Alligator mississippiensis: one gene and its partners. The protein of the gene in region 3 purifies or fractionates together with the protein of the main gene of each other region. This does not show direct contact. Links are inferred from orthologs where the notes say so. Each region holds a gene or a part of one and is shown on either strand. Other genes may lie near its edges.

Region 1 (7,984 bases), on a different chromosome or scaffold from region 3:
TAAGTGATAAGCAGAGGTTAAGGTGGACAGAGCCGGAATGGGATCCAACTTCAGGTATTAACCACTGTCCAAAGTTTCACGCATGCAGTGTCTGTAGGACAGAGTGTTACTGAGTGCAGAGATAGATTTGAATCAAAGTACAGTGGGTGTCTAAGAGCTACTAGTGGTTGGGTGGGTGCATGTATATGAGAGGGTACAGAGGGAGCCAAAGTTACAGAAGGGATCTTGGCAGCATGAACATGGAGCACAGTGTCCAAATGCAACAAAAATACGCTGAACAGTTGCCTGTGTAAGTTGCTGCCTTTGTTGCAATGAGCCAACATTTCACCTCTCCAGAAAAGCTTCCTATAGGCAGCTGTTTCACCAGACACCTCTGTCTTGTCTCCAAGACCATCCATAGTGCCTGGCAAACACTCCCCGCAAGCCAGGACCTTTTTTCTCCTTCCAGTCTCTCCTTAACTCTCCTCTGGCATGCTGTCTGCAAAACAGCCTGCTGGAATTGCCCTGGAAGGCGGCAATTTATTGCAGGTGGAATTAATAAGTATATAAGGGGTGTCCATCAGGATCTGGGAGAACAGTTGTTCACCAGGGCTCCCCAAGGGATAACAAGGTCTAATGGCCACAAACTCCTGGAAGGCCAATTTAGACTGGACATAAGAAAAAACTTTGTTACAGTCCCAGTGTCCAAGGTCTGGAACAGACTGCCCCCAGAGGTGGTGCAAGCACCTACTCTGGACTTTTTCGAAAGGCATTTGGAGGTTTATCTTGCTGGGATCATTTAACCCCAGAAGACTTCCTGCCTATGGCAAGGAGCTGGACTTGATGATTTCACAAGGTCTCTTCCAGCCCCTAATGTCTATGACATCTATGAATTTGTATGCCTCGTCGTTCCTCTTCCATCCCCCACTCCTTGGTTCATTCAGTTATGTTTGTTTTTTAGTCTGCAGCTTTTTGGGACAGATTGTTTCTATCAGTTTGAACACTGCCTAATGCAATGGGACCCTGGTCTAGCTGAGACCTTCAAGCACTACTGCAATTCAAAGGATAAATAATAAACATTGACAGCTTGCAATGAGAAGTGTTTGTGATATTTAGCCAGACTCCATCTTACCTCTCAAGAGAATAGTTAGTTTAATCCCAGCTGGCAAATATTCTGCTCTTTGATCTGTTGGCATCATACAAACATCCTCTGCCCAAAGCTGACATGAACTCATGGGTCAGACTGGGAGAACTAGAAATGCAGAACTAGAGATCCTGAACCACTCAAAAAGGTACAGAGCGAGCCTCTGAGGAGGGGAACTTCAGCAAGGTTTTAGCAGAGGTCTGATCCAGGGAAGAGAATGCACCGGGAGTCCAGGTGTTCCTGTCCTGCAGCAGCTTAGGGAGCAGGATCCAAGGCCTGGTGGTAAAGTAGGAGTGAGCTCTGTTCAGCAGATCAGGACATGCTGTTCTCTTCACCTTTTCCCTTTTAGATTATCCTTGTTTCACCCTCCAGCGTCTGCATCTATAGTCAAGTGAAGCCATAAACATTTGTAGTTTATTGAGTCAGAAGCAAGAGCTGGCCAGAAAACTGGGTTTCTCTCCAGGGAACTTCTGTCTTCTTACTGAGAAACTAATTTCTTTTTTGAATAAAAAGAAATACTTTTGGCCGCCAAACTGAATGCTCTTGATCTCCCAATGAAAAATCAGAAACATTTTCCAGGAAAGCAGGCCTCTCCCACCAAAGCCATGGAGTGAGAAACCTGATTGCTTGCAGAAAATGTTTGGACAGAAAACTTTTTGTGCAGCCCTGGTAAGAAGTGCTGTTTCTCTCCACTTCTTCTTGGAGCAAGGGCTAGCGCCCAGCTCTTCAGTAGGAGGAATGTCTGTGTCTCAACATGTGCAAAGAGCAGGTTTCCAGAGCAAAGGCTCTTTAGGAGGCTTATTGTGCACATCTAGCCAAGCTACGACGTGACATTCTCCAGACAAAACTTAGCAGGCTGGGACTATAGCATGAATCAAAGTCTCCATCTGGCCATATCTATAGTTTAGATCATCCCCCACCCTACTTGAAGTCACCATATTAGCACTGACCAGTGCAGATAACACAGGTCAAAACCTGGGCCATTGAACAGTAAGGCTTTTGACAAAGTGTTTAGTCTCTGCCAGCAAGAGAGAGTCTCTGCCATGCTACTGAAAAATCAGTGTGCCAAAACTTGGTGTAGGGGATGAAAAAGATGCAGCAGGGCATCAGGTGAGCTTCTGACCTTCATCACCATTGTGGTTAAAATGTTTCTAGCACAAACAATACCACTTAGCACTGATAGCTAGGGAGAAGGCATGGCTTGCACACAGCTTGATATGGAGGTCTCACAGAGCTACACATGGATCAACCTCGTGAGGGACAAGCAGGCCCAGACTAGAACACAGCAAGCTGCTGCCAAGCAGTGGAGAGGGAGGCAGGTGTCCAAGCAGGGGAGCGTTAGACTTCCCAGGTAGATCCAACAGGCTCACCAAGCTGATTTTTACTGGCAACTAGTTTTATCAAATGGTTACGGTAAATCAGAGACCTAGCAAATGTAATACCAAGATAGACCAGAAGTGCTCCAGGGGTGCCTGCAAAGGGGGACATTTTAGAAATGGATAATGAACAAAGTGGATTGTGATGTGTTCAGCTACTGTACCATGTACGGCAGCAATTGGCTATAGCTGTCAGGTCAGGAATCAGGAGGATAAATGTGAACAGCTCACCACAACTTGCCAGAATCTGCATCCTGTGGAGAGTTTATATTTGTAGATGGATGTCCCCTCGCTACAATATCCAGACCCAGCCACACAACTCAACGCCCTTTTTATGAAATGCACAGTTCCCAAACATTAGCTGAATGACAGAGATGTGCAGTAGGAAATATGTGAAGTCTCCGAACCTGTCAGCGTACTTTACTCTGGAAGAAAATCAGTTTACAAGACCAGATGAAACAGAAAGAAAGAACGAAAGAACGAGCAAAAGAACGAAAGGAAAAAAAGAAAGTCCGATTTTCGAATCCTTCCTCTTTTTGAAGTCCGGAGGTTGGAACATTCGTGAACAGTTGACTGTTTGAATCGTATAATGCAATACCTGTTCCTCTGGCTTAACGTTACAATATTTCCCACACCGCAGGATTGCTTCACAGTAGACTAAGAGGCAGTGTCATTTTCCCTGCAGTGCTGGGTCTTCTTTGCTGAGGCAAAGGACACTCCTACTTCCTTTAATTATATGTTTTGTTTTAAATTGATGTCTTTTATTTTGGGCATGAATCACCAGCTTGTAAACAGGTAAATGTGGGAGTAAAAGAAGGAAAATATAAGTTGGATTCCCAAGAAGGGTGTCTTTAATTAAAATCGGAATCGAGTTTCATTCTCACTTCTCCAACTCGCTATGGCTCCTCTGGGTCGATCCTGCTGAACGAAAGAGCGTATCCCATGGCTTTGTGTATGTACGTTGCCTTTTCCCCAGTCATTCTGGTTGCAGATTGCTGTTCCAAAGCCCAGCTCTGTATCTCCTGTGTACCCTGACAGTTGCAACATACCCTTCAAGGTAAACACGCCAGGCCAAACTCTGAGGCCACAGTTCCCGCACAGAGGTGGGGAGGGCAGTTTGGGATTTGCCTGACACTCTAGATGCTTCCAGTTCAGAGGTGGCTTTTGTGGCGGGGCCTTCCCTGCTCTGACTCCACAGCAATAACCTTTTTGCTCGTTGTCATAACCAGTCACGAGCATGTCTGCACGGAGCAGCTTTGCCTGTCAGGGTGACAGACTGAGCTGGGAACTGGTCTGGGAATAAGAAGATCTAGTTTCCGTGTGTGGCTCTGCCCCAGACTTGATGAGTGACCCTGGATCAATCGCTTGCTCTGTGTCCTGATTTCCCCAGGCCCTGCCTCAGTTCCCCCCCCCCCCCCCAAATCTAAAATGGGGAGAAGGATACTCACCCAACGTTGGGCAGTACTTGGAGGGCACACATAAGCGGTGCTTTCAAACACTGTCACATTCAAAGGATCCAGCTTCTCCTGGCACAAGGGCAGCTTCTGTGTCTCATGGGCCATGGGGGTGTGTGTGTGTATGTGCCTGTGTGTGTGTGTGCATGTATGTGTGTATGGGTGAATATGTCTGTGTGTGCATGTGTACACATGTCAATGTGTGTCTGTGCATGTATGTGTGTACAGGTGTGTATATGGTGGGTTTTCTCCTTTGCAGTAATACAGATGACCCCAGCAGTCTTTCCTGCCCAAGCACAGGGCGGCTGGACCCGATGATCTGTAAGGTCCCTTCCAGCCCCTAACAACTATGAAACTGTGTATGGGTATGTGTGTGTAGACATATGAGTATGTGTAAGGGCATATGTATGGGGGTGTGTGTGTGTGTGTGTGTGCATGCATGTGCATGTGTGTGTACGGGTGTACATATGTGTGTAAGGGTGCATGTATGTGTATGTGTGTATATGGGGGTGTGTGCATGCCTGTGTGTACGGGTGTACATATGTGTCTAAGGATGTCTGTATGTGTGCATGTATGTGTGTGCATGCACATGTGTATGTGTGTGTACGTGTGTGTGTGCACATGCCTGTGTGTAAGGGTGTGTGTGTGTGTGTGTGTGTATGTGTGTGGGCACACATGTATGTGTGTGTACGGGTGTGTGTGTGTGCCTGTGTGTACGGGTTTATGTGTGTGTGTATGGGTGTCTATATGTGTGGGCATACACACGTGTACGGGTGTATGCATGTGCCTGTGTGCGTGCCCGGGGTCCCGTCCCCGCAGCCACGGGGTCTCCCTCCCTTTGCCCGGCCGGACGGTCCGCACCTGCCCGCCGGGACAGGGGCTGGCCGCGCCCGGGCGCTGAGCGCGGCGCGGTGCGGCGCGGTGCGCTGCGGGGCCGGGAGCGGAGCGGAGCGGAGCGGAGCGCGCGGCTCGCCGCCAGCCATGACGTGGCTGTTGCCATGGCAGCGCCGCGCCTATAAATCCCCGCGCGAAGAAAGTTTCCCAAGTCAGAGCCGTGGGGCGCGGGCCGCGGCCGGATGGTCCGAGCGCGGGGCGGCGGCGGCGGCAGGAGGAGCCGCGGGCAGTGAGCGGCGGGCAGCGCAGCGCAGCGCAGCGCGTCCCCAGCAGGCTCCGGAGCAGGCTGCGGAGCTGCGCCCGCCGTTCGCGTTCATGCAACGCCTGGTGGCCTGGGACGCGGCATGCCTCCCGCTCCAGCCACCCGCCTTTAAGCCCATGGACGTGGCCAACCTGTACTACGAGGCGGACTGCCTGGCGGCGCTCAGCAAGCTGCACCCGCGCGGCCGCCCCATGAGCGAGCTGGGCGCGGGCGTGGGCGAGCACGAGCGGGCCATCGACTTCAGCCCCTACCTGGAGCCGCCGCCCGGCCCCGCGCCCGCACCCGCGCCCGCTCCGTCCGCGGGGGGCGGCTTCGAGCCCGGCGGCGGCGGCGGCGGCGGCGCCGACTTCCTCTCCGACCTCTTCGCCGAGGACTACAAGGGCGGCGCCAAGAAGGGCGACTACGCCTACCTCGGCCTGCCGCGCCACGGCCACGGCCCCGGCCGCTTCGAGCCCGCCAAGGCGGAGCCGCCCGTCTTCGAGACGCTGGACTCGTGCAAGGGCGGCCGCAAGGAGGACGGCGGGGCCATGGCGGCGGCCTACGGCAGCGCGGCGCGCTCCTACCTGGGCTACCAGTCCGTGCCCAGCGGCAGCAGCGGCAACCTCTCCACGTCCTCGTCGTCCAGCCCGCCCGGCACGCCCACCCCGGCCGAGGCGGCCAAGCCGGCGGGCGCCGCGGGCTACGGCGGCGCCAAGGCCAAGGGCAAGAAGAGCGTGGACAAGCACAGCGAGGAGTACAAGCTGCGGCGGGAGCGCAACAACATCGCGGTGCGCAAGAGCCGCGACAAGGCCAAGCAGCGCAACCTGGAGACGCAGCACAAGGTCTTGGAACTGACGGCCGAGAACGAGCGGCTGCAGAAGAAGGTGGAGCAGCTCTCCCGCGAGCTCAGCACCCTCAGGAACTTGTTCAAGCAGCTGCCCGAGCCCCTGCTGGCCACGGCGGGACACTGCTAGCCGGCCCGGGCCCCGCGGCCACGGCGCGGGGCGGGGGCGCCCGCGGGGAGGGGGCGCGCAAGTGTGTGTGTGTATGTGTATGGGGTGGCCTGTATCTATTTGTGTGTGTGTGTGCGCGTGCACATGGGGGTGTCCTGTATCCGTCTGCCTGTGTGCGCATGGGGCATGGCATGGATCTGTGTGTGTGTGTGTGCACATGGGGGTGTCCTGTATCCGTCTGCCTGTGTGCGCATGGGGCATGGCATGGATCTGTGTGTGTGTGTGTGTGTGTGCACATGGGGGTGTCCTGTATCCGTCTGACTGTGTGCGCATGGGGCATGGCACGGATCTGTGTGTGTGTGTGCACATGGGGGTGTCCTGTATCCATCTGACTGTGTGCGCATGGGGCATGGCACGGATCTGTGTGTGTGTGTGCACATGGGGGTGTCCTGTATCCGTCTGACTGTGTGTGCATGGGGCATGGCACGGATCTGTGTGTGTGTGTGCACATGGGGGTGTCCTGTATCCGTCTGACTGTGTGTGCATGGGGCATGGCACGGATCTGTGTGTGTGTGTGCACATGGGGGTGTCCTGTATCCGTCTGACTGTGTGTGTGCATGGGGCATAGCATGTTTCTATTTGAATGTGTGTGTGTGCGCATGGGGATGTCATGGATCTCTGTGTGTGTGAGGGGTGTCTGGGGGGTGTATGGAGTCTGTGTCTACTGTATAGGGGTGTGGAGTGCGTGTGTGTGTAGGTATGGGGGTGTGTTTATATATGGGGGGATGTCTGTGTGAGGGATGTGTGTGTGGAGTATATATGTCTGTATGGGATGTGTGTGTGTGTATGAGGGGTCGGGTGGCTGCTTGTTCCTTGCCCCCCCCCCCCCCGAGACTGGACTGGGGCCAGGGGAGACCCGGGGAGAGCCTTGAGCTGTCTTTGCTGGTGTCTGTATGTACCTGCTGGCGGGAGAACCCCCCCACCCCAGCCTCTGCCTTCCTTGGGAAAGGGGGAGCTCCTGGGCTCCTCCATCCCTGCTGGAGGAACCGTGTTTCCTGGGGGCCATTGCTTTGTTTCAACAGCAGCCAAAGTCCCCCTTCCTGCCCCCCCCCCCCGCCTTTCCCCCCCTTCCTGATGCACGATCTCTGCAGGCTGGTGAATGCTAGAGTTATTTAAAACGGAGCGAGAGGGAGAGAGAGCAGAGAGTGATGCAATCCTTGAAACATGGCTGGGAATGCTGTGGACATGATGCAATCTCATGTAACTGTCAGTCATGAATTGAGTAATCTGTTTAAAGATGTTTCTACTTTTTTTTGTTTTTTTATTATAAAGAGTAATCTATTTCTATAAGAAAGCGTGTGTATATTTTGGGATCTATGCCTTCTTGCTGCGGTCGAAGCATTAATGAACAATTTTAATAAATTTTCTGGCTAGGAACAAGAGGTGCTTGTTTTATTTTCAAGGCACTGTCAAGGCAGAACGAATCGGCGCGCTCTGGCCTGCCTTGGTGAGAGCAAGGAGCAGAACTTTTTCTTTTTGACTCCGTGACTCAGCAGAAGACTAAGAGAGAACCGGTGAAGAGCCGAGCCTGGGAGTCTGAGCCAGTTCCCCCTTGCTGCCTCCTTGAATTTCCTCTAATACCTTGATTTTGCTGCTGCCTGGGGGTTTTCTGGGGATTGTTTTTTGTTTTTTTTTTTTAAAGCAGGTTTCTTGCTTCTCGGTTATGTGACTCGGCATTGCTGCTGCCTGTAGTTTACAGGGATAAACCAGAAGATGACAGAATTTTTGTGTTGAATGTCGGGAACTTTGGGTCAGCACTGAGACACCTACCACAAAACCCAGCTGAGGTGAGATGCATGTGAACAGCTCTCCCTACAGTCTTCTTTTGGGCCTTTATTCTGCAACATATTTCTAACAAAGTGCTGATAGTGCTGCTCCTCTGG
Region 2 (7,776 bases), on a different chromosome or scaffold from region 3:
GTGCAGCCCTTGGGAGGTCACTGAGCTGGGGGGCTGAAAGCACCCCACTGGTGCCAGGCTGGGCAGGGGTGCCCTGCAGACTGGGCCAGAACAGCTTCACATGGGCCAGGAAGGGGGTTGCCATAGCAAATAATCATTTAAGCATTGTAATAACAGGTTAAGCAGGTATTTTTTAATCAGTATTTATATCCCTAATATCACATGTGGATTAAAGTACTTGGTATCCCCATGATGGGGTGAAAGGAATCCATCTCCAGGAGAAAGGTGTTTGATAAGCAAACATCGGGGTTTTCCATTTCCCACATAAAAATGGAAAAAAACCACGGAATTCCTGATTTAATCAGAACACGTGGATTTTCCCTTTCAGCGGGGAAACCCATGGATTTCCCCCTTTTGTGAAGAGTTCTACAGGCTAGCTGAGTTCCAGCCTGCAAGAGCTGTTTGCAAGAGGGCAGGAAACCCCTAACCCTGCCCGGAGGGGGAGGGGGAAAGGGCAGGACCCAACACACTCACTTACCAGAGGCTACATCAGGATCACTCTTCTTCATTCCTGGAGGTGAGTGGGGCTTGGGGGTTGTGGGGCTTGAGAGGGGGGAAGCTGGCTGGGGGCTGAGGGAGCGAGGATGTGTCAGGGAAAGAAATGCAATGCCTGCTGCCTAACGGGCGCTCCTGGTGGGGCTTTCCCCAACACCTTCCACTCCCTCAGCCTGGGCAGGAAGGGAGATTGAGTTGGGGAACAGAGCGTGTCCCAGGGCACAGCGGCAGAGGTGTGAGGGGCACTGCCGCCCCCCCCACCTCAGCTCATTTTGTGCCTGCTCGCAGGAGCAGGGCCAGGGGAGTGAGGGCAGCAGCGTCCTTCTGTGAGCCACAGTCTGGGGGAGCTCACACGGAGCACCCGCCACCGCTGCACCTTGCACCACTTGCCCGCAGCCAGAAAGCCGCACAGGGATGTGCTGGTAGCCACCGTGTGTGAGCCCCACCCGGCCAAGCAGGCATGTGGGGCCCGCAGAAGGGCACTACTGCCCTCACCCTTGCTCTGGGCAAGTGATGTGGGGCACAGCAGCGGCAGTGCAGCAGTGCTGGCGGCCGCCACAGTGTGCAACCAAAAATGCAGTGTGGGGGCAGAGGCCAGGGGCAGTGCAATGCCAGCCACTAGCAGCAGCATGGTGGCAGCCACCCTGTGCCAGCACCATTGCACCGCTGCCACCATACTGGTTGCCCGGAGCAGGGTCAGGGGGACCAGGCCAGCGGTGACCCTCTGTGAGCTGCACATGGCTGCCCTGGAGAGGACGGAGGGCTCGCACGCAGCAGCTGCCACCATATCCCATGTGGCTTTCCAGCTGCGGGCAACAGGTGCAAGGTGTAGCGGTGCAGTGGTAGTCCGTGTGTGGCCCCCCCGAGCCAGGCGGTGCACATATGGGCCACAGAGAGGGACCACTGCACTCCCCCCTCCCCCCCCCCAGCCCTGCTCCTGGGAGTGGGCACAGTGAGCCAAGGTGGGGGGGAGGGGGGCACTACGGTGTGTCGCGTGGGGCTGGCAGTGCCCCTCACCCCTCCGTTGTTGCACCCTGGGGCACGCTCTATTCCCATCTCCCCCCACATGTTCATCTGCCCAGGGCTGAGGGAGAGGAAGGTGCGGGGGAAACCTGCACCAGGAGTGCCCACCAGCCAGCAGGCACTCCATGTCTTCTCCCAACACATCCTCGCTCCCTCAGCCCCCAGCCCCTTCCCCACCAGAGGCGGTAGTGTGGGGGGCTGCTGCATGCGAGCTTCCCCCCCACCCTGACTGGGCGGTGCATGTGTGGCCTACCCTCATCCCGCCCTCCGGGAACATGCAGAGATGCACCTCTCCTCCCTCCATTCTCAATCTGCACCCCCAACCCTTTCCTTTCCCCCCCATCCTCCCCCACACCTAACCTGCTAGGGTGTGTGTGTGTATTTGTCTGTGTGTCTGTGCCTTTGTGGGAGACTGGGGGGCTGTTGTGGGTGGAGTAGTGGGCACGAGCAGGACTGGGGAGGCTGTGTGGGGGAGTGAGGAGCACTAGCAGGGTGGGGGGGGACTTTAATTTTTATCACGGATTTTGGGTTTTTTAAACAGATAATTTGTGACTTTTTACCAGGGAAAACCAGGATCTGTGCTGACAAGGCAACAGTTTCAGGGCTTCTGCTGTCACCTTCATGGATGAGGAAGAATTGAGCACACCCCTCCCACATGCAATACTTTCTGGCTTCTGCTTTTGGGGGGGGGGGGGTTGGTCTTTTCCTTTTCACCACACCTAGAAGCCAACAGCCAGTTTCGCCACTGGTGCACTGGTGTTCCCTTTCAAAAGCACTCAGGTGCTTGGCTGGAAGGACTTGCTTACTTATTCAGACTCTAATCTAACAGCCAGATTTGGGGTCAAAAAGGGATTTCTGCCCCCTCCGGGTCACACTGGCAAGGTTTGTTTTTTCCCCCACTTCCTTCCTCATGCAAGGGGTGATGCGCCCCTTACATAAACATATGCTCATAATCAGTGAAACCTAATTAAGCTGGTGGAGGGGCGGGCACAAGGTGGCTCACCAGCTGGATCCAGCCGGGCAAATGACTGGATCCAGCTCCCAGGCGGGCGCCCACCAGTCGGCCGGATCCAGTCTGTGGCCACCCCGTTGCCCTCCGCACCGTCTCCGACTCGGGAGACTCGGACGCCCCGAGAAGATGCCAGCTCTTGGCCGTGCCCCCGCCACGGGCAGCCATTATCCCCGGACAGCGCGGGGCACGGGGGAAGCCGCCTGCGCGGCGCCAGTGACAGTCCGTGGATGCGGGGCCCACGCCCCACTTAATGCTGGAGCCTCTTCCCCGCATGCATCCCTTCGCCTCGCCGCGCCGCGCCGCGCCGCCCCCGGAGCCGGGCACTCACCAGCCCGCGCGGACTCGTCCGTCTCCCGCCGCCTACAGCAGCCCTCTGCGGCCGGGGGCGGACAGGCAGAGGCCGCAGACCCCCGCGCGCATGCGCCGCTGCAGCCAACCGCCGCGGAACGCGCAGTTTGAAAGTAAACGGCAGGCTCCAACTGCCACTTTCGAACTTCGGCTCGTGGCCACCAACGGTCCCGCCGGCCTCGTCACCGCGCGCGGAAGCGCATTCTCTCCCTCCGACATAAAAGGCGAAACCTTGGCTCGGCTGATGCGAATGCGGACAGGCCGAGTGCAGGCTCCCCTCCCTGAGCGCCGAGGGGCTGCCTTCAGGTGGTCTGCAGGGTCCGCTGGGAGCGGAGCACAACTGAAGCAAGGGCTTCAGGGCTTTTCCCTCAGACTCCTCTCTCAGTTAAGTCACGCAGTTACAGTGCACATGAAAAAGGAGAAAGCACGCATCCTCTCATCTCTTGCAGTAGTCGTACCCCTGCGGTTACAGCAGGAAACTGGCCAGAGTAAGAGGACCGGGTAGTAAAATCTCTCGCCAACTTATTCTTGTGTTTCTATCGCTACTAACACTGGCAGAGATGCACCGTAGATCCTAAATTCAAGGAATCTATTGAATATTCATAAAGTTACGTGCATTTCCAACTGCTAGTGATTTTGCAGTTTTCTAATACTAGTCCTGTACAAACTGATGACTTGCTGGAGTAAAATTAAAATTACAATTTATGAGAAATTTATGACTCCTGATAAATACACTTAAGAGCCTTTAAAGTAACATAGGAAATGGCCCACAGCTCCATACACTGCAGCTATTTGTATTTATCACATAAAATCAGGGCTCCACCTGAAAAGTATCAAGGCAACCATCAGTGATATCATCAAGCAAGTAGGATTAAACCTGTAAATTTAAACAAGGACTTTCACGTACAAGCACGCTATCTAGTATAGTTTTACAATGATGAAGTAACTTACTTATGCCCAGGGAGAGGAAACTGGTGAACTAATTTGCTGATGCCACTACAGTCAGTTACTAAACCCTGATCTGCTGTTCACTGTCAATAAAGAAACCCAAGGCAAAACAAAATGGAACAAATACAGAGCTGGTCTATTTGGATTTCGTTTCCCCAGGTAACTGCCTTACAGGAAAATGCTCTCTATGGATTTTCATTTGCGTTAAGGGTAAAAATTAATCTCAGTAGTGAAGACCAGTACAAAAGTAAAGATGTTTTGCCACCTGCTTTTATCATCTGCAAATGGAAGTAAGATCAGACTTATACCAGTTACTAATCTTTAGGGACTGAAAATCAACTGGAAGTATTCAGCATTTTCACAAATTCCAGACAGTTGAAAATCTTTTTCATTAAATGAGGGAGGGTCAACAAATCATCAGAGAAATTATCAAAAAATGATCAAAGAAATCATTCTTGACAGGCTAACAGAAGGCTACATGTTGCAGGTAGGTCTTGCCTGACCAATCTCATTTCCTTCTATGACCAGGTGACGTATCATCTGGACAAAAGGGAACAGGTTGATATTATACATTTGGACTTTAAAAAAGGGGTGGACTTGGTGCCAGCCTATAAGTATATTGGGGTGTTCATCAGGATCTGGGGGAACATCTGTTCACCAGAGCACCCCAGATGATGACAAGGTCCAATGGTCACAAACTCCTGCAAGACTGTTTCAGGCTGGACATAAGGAAAAGCTTCTTTACTGTCTGAGCTTCCAAGGCCTGGAACAGACTCCCCACAGAGGTGGTGCAAGGACCTACTCTGGGCACTTTTAAGGAACAAAAATGTATCCTTTTGGATGCTTATCTTGCTGGGATCCCTTGACCCTAGCTGACTTCCTACCCTTTGGGCAGGGGGTTGGACTTAATGATCTTACGAAGTCCCTTCCAGCCCTAATGTCTATGAATCTATGAACAAGGATTTGAAGAGAATTCAGTCTAGGACCAGGAAGGCTCTGACTGCAATGTGGGACTTGAAGGCTGTGGAATTGAAATGGAAGATCCAGAACATCTCCGCTCTGGGATACCAGGTGGGAAAAACAGAGTTTGCAAGTATTAGAAAGTGGACGCATTGAGGGATTTCGTGGCTGGCATTGTGATCTACCATCTGTTACACTGATAATCCTAAAAACATTATAGGTCAAATACCCAGTGGTGTGTACATTTTCCACATAGACACGATTATGTTGGTTTATTTATAATTTGTCAAGTCACGGGAATAAAAATTCAAACACATTCTTAGACACTAATATTATGGCAGCCTTAAAAAAGTCAGCAAATCATATTACTTACAGTGCAATGGCAAATTAATATTAAGAGTCTCATCATTCCAAAATACTTAAACATCTGCCTTGGATAATACAAAACTAATATTTTAAAAGGTCTTCTATAAGCATAACATCTTTCTCTCTTGTGTTTCACTCAATTAACCCTGCAGTTTTGCCGATACAAAAATATGAATTTTCCTCAAAGGTAGGTAGCAAAAGATATTTTTCTTCCTGTGAATTTAATGCTTACAGAGGCTCTCATAATAAAATTATTTTTACATAATAGATTAAATATTATTTGTCTCACAGCTCCTACTCTGAGTGGATTTACCTTTGTGGATGAGAGTTGGTGAACCTCCTCCATACCTGCTCAGTTGTTAGTCTGTTCAGATTGCCAATTCAGGCTAATTATGGCAGCAGACCTTGTAATATACAAATGCCCAGCTAACGAACTGAACTAAAATCAAACTCATTCCTACAGAGCACTGATCCTCTATCAGATCATAATGATTTCTGGTCACTGTTGATCTGAAGTGGATTTTAAGTAAATTTGATTACTACTAACCTGATTTGGATTATGACAACTGAAACCAGAGACCTGGATGTGAACAATACTGTAACCCATTCAGTAACAGGAATTTTTTTCATGTAAAAGGCTGCCAAACAACATCTTTTTTTTAAAAGTGATGTTGAATAAAAAACGATTAAGCTGGTAATTCCACAAATAAATGGTAACTGCAAAGCTTTCTTTTTAATTTTATCTACACTAGGTTTTTTTAGCTGCATGTGCTGCTTACAAGAATTTAAACCTGTGTCCTTGTAACCATCAGGCAAGGTCAGGCTGTACCTTGGAGGATGTTTCTACAGGCAGAGCAAAGGTTAAAACCGGCCCCCTCCCCTAGTTTACTAACAAAATGAAGAAGGGACAAAAGCCCGCAGGGTCCTTCAGGCAGACGCATCTCCTTTTAGGGGATTTATTTACCAAGCAAACCTTGCGCCTGGCCCCGGCCCCGGGGAAGTCGCGGATTTGCCTGCAGCCCGTCCCCGTCCCGCCCCGCGCAGCGGCAGCAGGTTGTTCCCCCTTCCCCCTTTTTAGCATTGCCTCCGCCCGGGCCATCGGAGCACGGCCTCGGCGCGGCGGGGGCGGGGCACAGCTGCCCGGAGCCGACTCTCCTCCGCCCTCCCTGCCCCGGGTCCATGGAGGTGGAGGGCCCCGAGGATCCGGGCCGCCTCCTCCGGGGCCTGGCGGGCAGCAGGCGGACGGGCAGCCTGGCAGCGGTCGTGGCCCAAGCCTTGGCCGTCGGGCTGATGTTCCTGGCCGGGGCCTACCCCAGCTGGGTCCTGGTCAGCGGCGACGAGGTGCAGTTCGTGCTGGGAGCAGTGTGGGCCCTTAACCCCATAGCTCCCCCTCCCGACTCGCCTCTCCTGGGCCCGGCCGGGGTGCCCCTCATCCTGTCCATAGCGATCTGCTGCCTCGTCGCCATCCTCAGCGGCTGCAGCGCCCTGCTGCTGGACTTCCTGGGCCTGCAGCAAGCCTGCGCTGCCGCCCCGTTCCTGCACGGCCTGGCCGCGCTGCTCGCCCTGGGCGCGGCGGCGCTGTGCTCCTGCCTCTTCGAGGTGACGCGCAGCAGGCTGCAGACGGAGAAGGAACTGCAGCCCCTTCGCCTCACCTCCACCTTCGGGCCCAGCTTCTTCATGTGCATCCTGGCCTGCGCCCTAGCGGCCGCCGCCACCGGCTTCAGCTGCAGCGCTTCGGCCCGCCTCGTGACTTCGGTACACTCCCAGGCGGGCAGGCGCGGGAGGAGGGGGCCGCCGCTCGTCAGGCCCCGCGAGGACGAGGTGCTCGACTCGCAGGTCGTCTTGCCCCACTGCAGGGAGGGAGAGATCCCGGTGGGCGAGAAGCGCCGCATTCAGACAGTGTGAGGCTGCCCCGTGGCGAGGAGCCGCTCACTCGCACCGCGTGAGGCGAGCTCAGGGGCTGCCCCTCCACCAAGGGTGAGGCTGATGGGCTTCAGGTTCTCCTTTCCCGAGGTAAGGAGCTCATCCAAGTGGCAGGAAACTTCCCTTTCGTAGAAAGAGACGAAACCCCAAAGGCAGCCCATTATGCTGTTTGCTTTCATTGAAGAGGAAACTGAAGTCCTTATGGATGAAAGTCTCCCATTCACGTAGGGGAAAAACAGAAACCCAAGTGTCCCAGAGTCTCCCCTTTACAGAGAAACTGAACCCCAGGCAAAGGAAGATCTGGCCATTAGACAACACAGAACTGAACCTGGGATGGTGATTTTTTTTCCTCACCAGAGAAAAAGAACTTCAACAAAGGGATCTAAAAACTGTTTCTTAAGAAGTGGGGAAAAAAATACCAAGTCTGAGGCAAGCTTCTCCAGTCAAGTTCAGATTCACTTTGTGTAAGATTTCAACTAGCTACTTAGGATTGATCCGTCACGGAGCTCCCACTGGTCCCATTTCCAGACTTGATAGGGCTGCCTACATCTTCCGAATGTTAGAGGAGTGTTGAGAGGCTGTTTTTTGGAATTGCCTTATATATATAAAAAACAAATAAATATTTTTTTCTTTCATAGACATGTTGCAGTTCTTTGAGATGT
Region 3 (7,152 bases):
GCAGCCCATTGGTCACCTCCATCTCTGGCTCAAGTATGCTTCCAGGATCCTTACCAACCCTGAGCTCTCCCTCCCATAACAGCATGCAAAAGCAACAACTTCTACCCTCTCCAGCTGGCTGGGAGACTCCATTCCATAGAAGGAGACAGGAACCTGGCCTCAGTTATTCACACCTTCATCACCTCTTGTCAGAACTGCAGCCATGTGCAAAAGTCCTGCAGGGCTTGGGATACTTCAACAAGTACAGAGGCTGCAGCCCTTCTCTTCTGCAGAAACTGTCATACCCGATCTCTGCACCTGGCATTGGCTTCCCAGAGAATTCCAAACCACATTCAGGGTCTCAATCCTTACCTTCAAGGCTCTTAGAGACCAAGGCCAGGCTAGCCTAGTCAAAAGACCAACTACAGTTCCAGGATGAAGACAGTGGTTGGTGCATTCACTCTGGCACTAAAGGTTAAAAGTACATCCATGCACTCAGAAGATCTCTGGTTGCTAGTGAGAGACTACATGGCAAACTCCCCCAGGACCTTCTACTGTCTGTTTCAAGTGCCCTTTTTTGGTCCTATGCGCTGTAACATGCATACATGTACACATATATACAAGTGCAAAGCTAGAACATCCCACACACTTCTCCCCCTTGGGAGGTGAAAGAATGCATACATGACAGATGTTAGCCACATGTCTTTATGCAATTCTCAGACATAATGGTGCTCAGCTCAGCAGTACCAGAACCAATGTAGAAAGCACTAGCCTGAAGCTTGGAAGGCTACGGTTCAATTCCTTACTTTGTCACGGATCCTTTTTATGACCCTGGGCATATCACTCTTCTATAAAGTGGTGGGCAAGTTGCATTGAAGATTATGTGATACAGATACAGTGACTAAAAGGCCCTGGGAAATACTTAGGTAACCTCTGGCACAGCTGCTCTGTATTACTACCTACTGATGTGAAACGGAGACCTTGAGTTTTACTTATAACACCAGTCAGTTCTCTTTATATAAACTACTACAAAACCACTGTCTGGTCCAGGCAATGAAGCCCATGTTGCACAAGAGACTCTCTCTAACCGGAAGACTTTGGAGCAGTTGCATCAAGCAACAGGAAAATATGCAAGCCAGAGTTCACACCTGTCTCAGAAACACGAATCAGTTCACCAACCTTGGTTTGACCAAACACAGAACCACAAGTTTCTGGTTTTCAGTCTTCATTACAAGTAAACTCAATATCACAGCAATTTTAATCTAAGATCTGGTATTGGACCAATGCCTGTAAGGAACGGTTCTGCAGCTTATGCTCTGTGTTCTTTAGGTGCTCTAATAGAAATCCTTGTCCTCAGTCATTTCTAAATTTGTGGGATAAGGATCATTTCATGGTTAAAACTCTGAGAAGTACACACATCTGCTTGGGAACTAAATCCCAGGATCCAATATAAACTAATAATCCTGATGTTTTGGTTTCTTGAATTTTTCCTACATTTATCCATAGATTCCTGCTCTGAAAAGGCATTTTAGACTCAAGTCTCTTAGTGTTACATTTTAAAAATGCATTCAGCAATAGAAGTATGTTCACTGAATTAAACAAGGCCATTTTATACTCCTGCTTGCATAGAAGAGATGATATTTGCAGGACACACAAGACCTTATAGTTTTAATCTTTACAGACATTTTTGTCAGCAGCAACCAGTCCACCCCAATAACAACTCCTGCCAAGCTCAAACTTATAATAATTTTATTAGGTGTGAGAAGGAAACAAATCTCTTTTGCAAAAGAAATGCCAGGTGGGGGCATTCATTTCTCCTCTTAAAGTTTCTGATCCCACGCCCTTTAGAAGCAATGGCAACGTTCTGCCCAATTCTCGGAGAGGACTGGCACATCTGCAGGCAGTAGAACAATGGGAGGCTTCTCTCCTCCGCAGTGCTTGCGGTACTAATTAATGCCACAGGATTGTCTACTGAGGGAGAGCTAGAAATTGGAAACTGACTAACAACAAAAACGAAACTGATGACTCTTTTCTTGAGCCAGGTTATCTGAACTACAAACATAAACACCGTTGTTAGAAAAAAAAAAAAAAAGAAGCTTTTCAAGATCCATGCTACTGGGAATAGGGTTTTCTAAAAACTCTCTTCAGCCTCAGCTATCCATGCTACTGGACTCCAAACAGTGCAGGGGATTGGCAATTTGGGAGTGCTGGCAGTGAAGTTTTGTAGACATGAAACACCCTGTTTTACTGAAACTGCTGTGCAAACAGACACTGGCTGGGTCATCATAAACAACTCTCAGCAGGGTCATAATCCAACCAGCAATTTCAAAGCCTGGAAAGGCTGCAAGGAGCCTGAGAGCAGCTCAGGAGGAAGAGCACCAAGATAGAGTCCGCAAAGGCCTGGAAGCCAAGATTCACAAGGAAGGCTCTCCACTGACACCCAGCAATGGCAACAGGTGCATCTGCCTGTACCCCATGTGCAACCTTCCTCCTCGGGCCCCTGCCCAGATCCAGGGACAAGAGATGGCACAAGCACTGGCACAGACAGAGCTCCCTAATGGTGGCGGCACCCGATTCCTGCCAACCACAAATGCAGCTGCACCATGCCAGCGTCCCAGATGACCTGATACAAGACGTGACGGATGTGCGAGAGGGGACCAGATCCGGTTGCCACAGGCATCACCACCAGATTTCCTAGCTCCAGGGCATTTAAATCTGCCAACCACAGCCCTCACTTTCTGCAGGGCCCACAGGCCTGGCTCCCCTGGGCCGGGAGCCTGGAAATGCTCCAAGCCACCCTGCATGCCACCCAGCACCCACGCCCAGCGGCTGCCAAAGCCCCCTGGAAGGGGCACCCACTCGTGCCCCAGCACCCCGGGCACTGCCCCCCCGGAGGCCAGGCTCGGCTCGGCTCACCTGCGGGGAAGGGCTCCCGGGCCGGGCCGGGGACGGCGGCTCCGGCTCCCTGCGGCAAGCGGGGATCTGATCCCTCCGCGGATGACGCGAGACCTGCCACTCTAATAGCCCCGCCCCCTCGACCCTAACGTCACAATCGTCCTAGCCAATGGCTTCCCGGGTGAGCTCAGGATTCGCGGGGGACGGGCCTCCCCAGCCAATCAGCGCCTCCAGTCCCTCCTGGTTCTTTCATTAATCAGGAAGGCGCCGGCGCGTGCCCCCTGGCGGCTGTTCCGGGTGGGGGACGCACCTCCCACCGCGCGGCCGAGCCAGTGGAAAGGAGAGGCCAGGGCTCGCGGCGGGCGGAACGGCGACTGCCGGGAACTTCTGTGCTGGAAACTCAGCTGAGTTCCGGGCAGCACTCTGACGTCAGCGCAGCCGGGGCTGTTTCTGCTGCCGCCTCTTAAAGGGCCAGAGCAGCCGAGCCAAGCGGGGGCGGGGGGCACGTAGAGCCCCTCACCCCGCGCCCTGGGATGCTGCGGCTCATCCCGCCGCGCTGGTCCCACCCATCCCGTTGACCTGCACGGGGGTGTGGACCCACACACGCACATGCATATACACACGTGTACACATGCACACGCACACAAATATACACCTGCGCACGCGCGCACACATTTACACATAGGCGGACAAGTTTCTCTGGGTAGATGTGATCTCTTTTATCAGACCAACTGTTCTTTGCAACCTGCCAGGCCCAAGCACCCTTCTTCAGGCATAGAGCGAGTCTGCTCTGCTGGTGTGTGTCTGCTCCCCTGGGTAGAACAGGAGCCAATATGCAAAATGCAGGTCTGTGAAAATATAGGTGGGAATGGGGGACAATAGGTGAGAGACAGGTTGGGGGTGGGGGAGAAAGAACCTAGCTGGTAAAATGCAGACAGGCTACCTGGGTGGGCGGGGGCGGGGGGGATGTAATACACACGTGCCGCAATGGCTCATACGATTCACATGCCCTAACCAACAGAGGCATTTGCCTCGGGTCCATGAACATACTGGGCATCTTGCCCCATTCCAGAACAGCCAAGTTGGAGATTTTGTCATGCCATGTTATGCCCAGGATACAACAGAGACATCAAAGATGGAAACTTGTTTTCTTTTTTCCTTAGCATAAGAAGTCCATGTTTCGCCAATAGAGAGCTAAGTACACATGTATACACACGTGTAGACATACACATATGTCTGTACATACACATATGCATACTCACACATACACACTTGTTGCTGTTCATCCTTTGAATTTGAAAATGACCAAGACATCACTGGTTGGTTTGGTTTCTGTGAACACGTGAATGGCTGATCAGGCCAATTTGTGCTTAGAACGGTCTATGCCAGTGGTTCTCAACTTTTTTGTACCAGGGCCCATTTGTAAACATTGATGGCCAGTCCCAACCCACTGCCCCTCACTCCTGACCCACTACCCCCAGGCCCCAGCCCTTCAGTGTGTAGGGCAAAGGGGAGGTGGGATCCAAACAGCCCCTTGCAGGCTAGAACTCCTCCAGCCTGCAGGGGAAAAGCCACCGTTTCCCCATGTTTTTCTCCTTTAATGGAGAATCCATTTTAAAAAGTTCATTAATCCATTTTTAAGGTTTGTTTGTGACTCTTTCATACATTCTTGTGACCCACAGGTTGAGAAACACTGGTCTATGGCAGACTGAGCAAGAGATGCCCCTTTGGGTTGCTTGCTGCTGTTGTGAGATTTACGCTGTTTGCACTTTTCTGCCTCAGCAGTTCTCCGCTCATAGACAGTAGCTCCAGTATGGACGAGGCTTCACCAGGTGGAACGATCATGAGCAAAATCTTCCCAAGATTTTGGGTCAATGTTGAAATGTTTCAAGGATGACTTGAGGGAGTCCTTGAAGCATTTGTTCTGGAGAGCTCTTTCCCTCCTTCAGCTCACTGTGAAAGATCTTTGGCAGTTGCTCATCTGATATCCTGGCAACACAGCTAGCCCATCTCAACTGTAATTTCATCAACAGAATGTGGATGCTTAGAATGGCTGCCCATGTAAGAACCTCAGTGTCTGGGACCTTGTCTTGCCATCTTATCCTCATCAGTTTCCTCAGACAGCCCATGTGAAAGTAATTCAGCTTCATAGCATGGCATCTGTACATCATCCAAGTTTTGCATGCATACATCAGGATTGGCAACATAATGGCTCTGTAGATCTTCAGTTTTGTTTGTTGACCGATGCCTCTGGACTCCCACACATTTACATGTAGTCGCTGAAGGCCATGGTTGCTTTAGCAATTCTGGCATTTGTTTCATCAGTGATGTGAAGCATATGTGACAGTGTACTTCTGAGATAAGTGAATTTGTCCACTGCCTGGAGGATTTGGCTATTCATTGTGATGGTAGACTCTACACATGGCTTTCCTGGTGCAGGTTGGTGTATCACTTCTCTTCAGCTTGTGAGATTTGGTCTCACAATCAACACTAAGACGACAGAAGTAGTCCATACTTCACTGCATGTCAGACTCAGATTTGGTATTCATGGAACAGTCATTAGCAAACAGAAGATCACAGTCACTTCCTGTAAGTTTGTTTTCACCTGTAGTCTCCTTAGATTGAAGATCTTGCTATCAGTCCAGTATCTGATGTCAATCAGAGCATCACAGTCACGAACGGCATCTGTAAGCACAGCAGAGAAAATCATACTGAAGAGGATTGGGGCTAACACACTGCCCTGCTCAACTCCATTGGCTCAGATGACTCACCGGCATCCACAACAAGAGCAAGCATGCCATCATGGCACTGCCAAACCATTGCAATGAATTTCTCCGGGCATCTAAATTTTGCCATGATCTTCCAAAGGCCTTCCCAATTGACTGTATCAAATGCTTTTGTCAGGTCAATGAAAGTCATGTACAGGTTTCAGGAAAGGACACAGAACCATAGACATAGTGTTTGCATCTTCTCATATACACATGCACACACATGTATACATGCACACATACACGTAGCCGTACATGCATGCATAGACACACACATATAGACATGCACATACTTAAATGCATGCATATACATATGTATGAACATATATAGATGCATACACACGTACGCACACATATGCACACATACCTACACATATGTATACACACCTGTTCACATGCACATACATACATATACAAACAGGTCACACAAACACATGCACAACGGCATATACACACATACACATAGATGCATATACACATACATACATACTTACATACACATATATATTGTATATACATACATAGACGTGTCCACACATGCATATACATACACACACATGCATATTGGGGCAGACCTAGGATTTTGAAGAAGAGGGTGCGGTGAGGTCCATCACCTCATATAAAAACAATACATTTTTCTCTAGTTAAAAAGAAACTAGGGGCACCTATACATGTGCAGGCTGCTCCTATGTATTGTAATTACAGTGCATCAGAGCAGACTCGATTAATTGAGTCTGCTGGAGCATGGCAATTACTATGCTCCAGCAGACTCCAGCATCTTGTGTATTAGCATCCGCATGCTGAAAAACGGTGGGGGGGGCATTGTAACTAAAGCTTGTTCGACACGCTTTGAAGTGCCCCTGCCAACATTTTTCAGCATCGGGATGCTGATATACGAGATGTTCAGGGCATGTTAATTAGAGTGGCTCTTGGAGCAGCTCTAATTAAAACACCTCCCCCCACTCCCAGAGCACATGTATAAACACCCAAGAAGCTTTACTACTATGCTAGGGGCCTAGGCTGTACTATTCAGTTGAAGTTTGAAGCAAAAAAAATATATAACTTCATTGGAATGGAGTTAAAAACAAGCAGTCTGCAGGTTTTGTGAAATAGGGGTTTCCTGACCAGGAACAGCTAACAGACAGCACAATTGCAAGACACAGGCTACCTTGGTTGGTGGAACATCAAGACCACTAAAAAGAAAAGAGGGTCATTAATACCTGTGGGGTGTAGAGGTTAGAGGGGATCAGGTACATGATGATAAGATATGCAGTCAAGTAACTCCCTCAGCACTACCTGACTAGAAATGCTGCTGCCATTGCCAGGCACTTGGTTTTAAGCTTTGGGTGGACCAGAAATCAAAGCAGGTACAAGTGCACCCTTCTGGATCTGCCCCTGTATGTATACATACACACATATCTATGCTGGTTAGTCTATAAAGTATAAACATACCCCACCCTCTACTTAACTTCAGACTAATAGGTCTAACTATGTCTCTATATCAGCGTAA

The links. Proteins that work in one complex are often made in the same cells at the same time.
Region 1: the proteins of STAT3 (region 3) and CEBPB purify together in Homo sapiens (affinity purification with western blotting; 3 studies listed by BioGRID, with this or other methods). This does not show direct contact. The link is inferred for Alligator mississippiensis from reciprocal best matches to the Homo sapiens genes STAT3 and CEBPB.
Region 2: the proteins of STAT3 (region 3) and TRIM59 purify together in Homo sapiens (affinity purification with western blotting; 4 studies listed by BioGRID). This does not show direct contact. The link is inferred for Alligator mississippiensis from reciprocal best matches to the Homo sapiens genes STAT3 and TRIM59.

The regions. Positions count from the first base shown.
Region 1 is NC_081832.1:13,203,886-13,211,869, reverse strand, and holds CEBPB (CCAAT/enhancer-binding protein beta), read left to right. Parts: upstream 1-5,013; 5' UTR 5,014-5,162; coding exon 5,163-6,062; 3' UTR 6,063-7,481; downstream 7,482-7,984. UniProt on the Homo sapiens protein: Important transcription factor regulating the expression of genes involved in immune and inflammatory responses. Also plays a significant role in adipogenesis, as well as in the gluconeogenic pathway, liver regeneration, and hematopoiesis.
Region 2 is NC_081830.1:68,585,031-68,592,806, forward strand, and holds the start of TRIM59 (tripartite motif-containing protein 59), read right to left. Parts: upstream 3,004-7,776; 5' UTR 2,898-3,003; intron 1-2,897. UniProt on the Homo sapiens protein: E3 ubiquitin ligase involved in different processes such as development and immune response. Serves as a negative regulator for innate immune signaling pathways by suppressing RLR-induced activation of IRF3/7 and NF-kappa-B via interaction with adapter ECSIT.
Region 3 is NC_081827.1:162,182,040-162,189,191, reverse strand, and holds the start of STAT3 (signal transducer and activator of transcription 3), read right to left. Parts: upstream 3,004-7,152; 5' UTR 2,896-3,003; intron 1-2,895. UniProt on the Homo sapiens protein: Signal transducer and transcription activator that mediates cellular responses to interleukins, KITLG/SCF, LEP and other growth factors. Once activated, recruits coactivators, such as NCOA1 or MED1, to the promoter region of the target gene.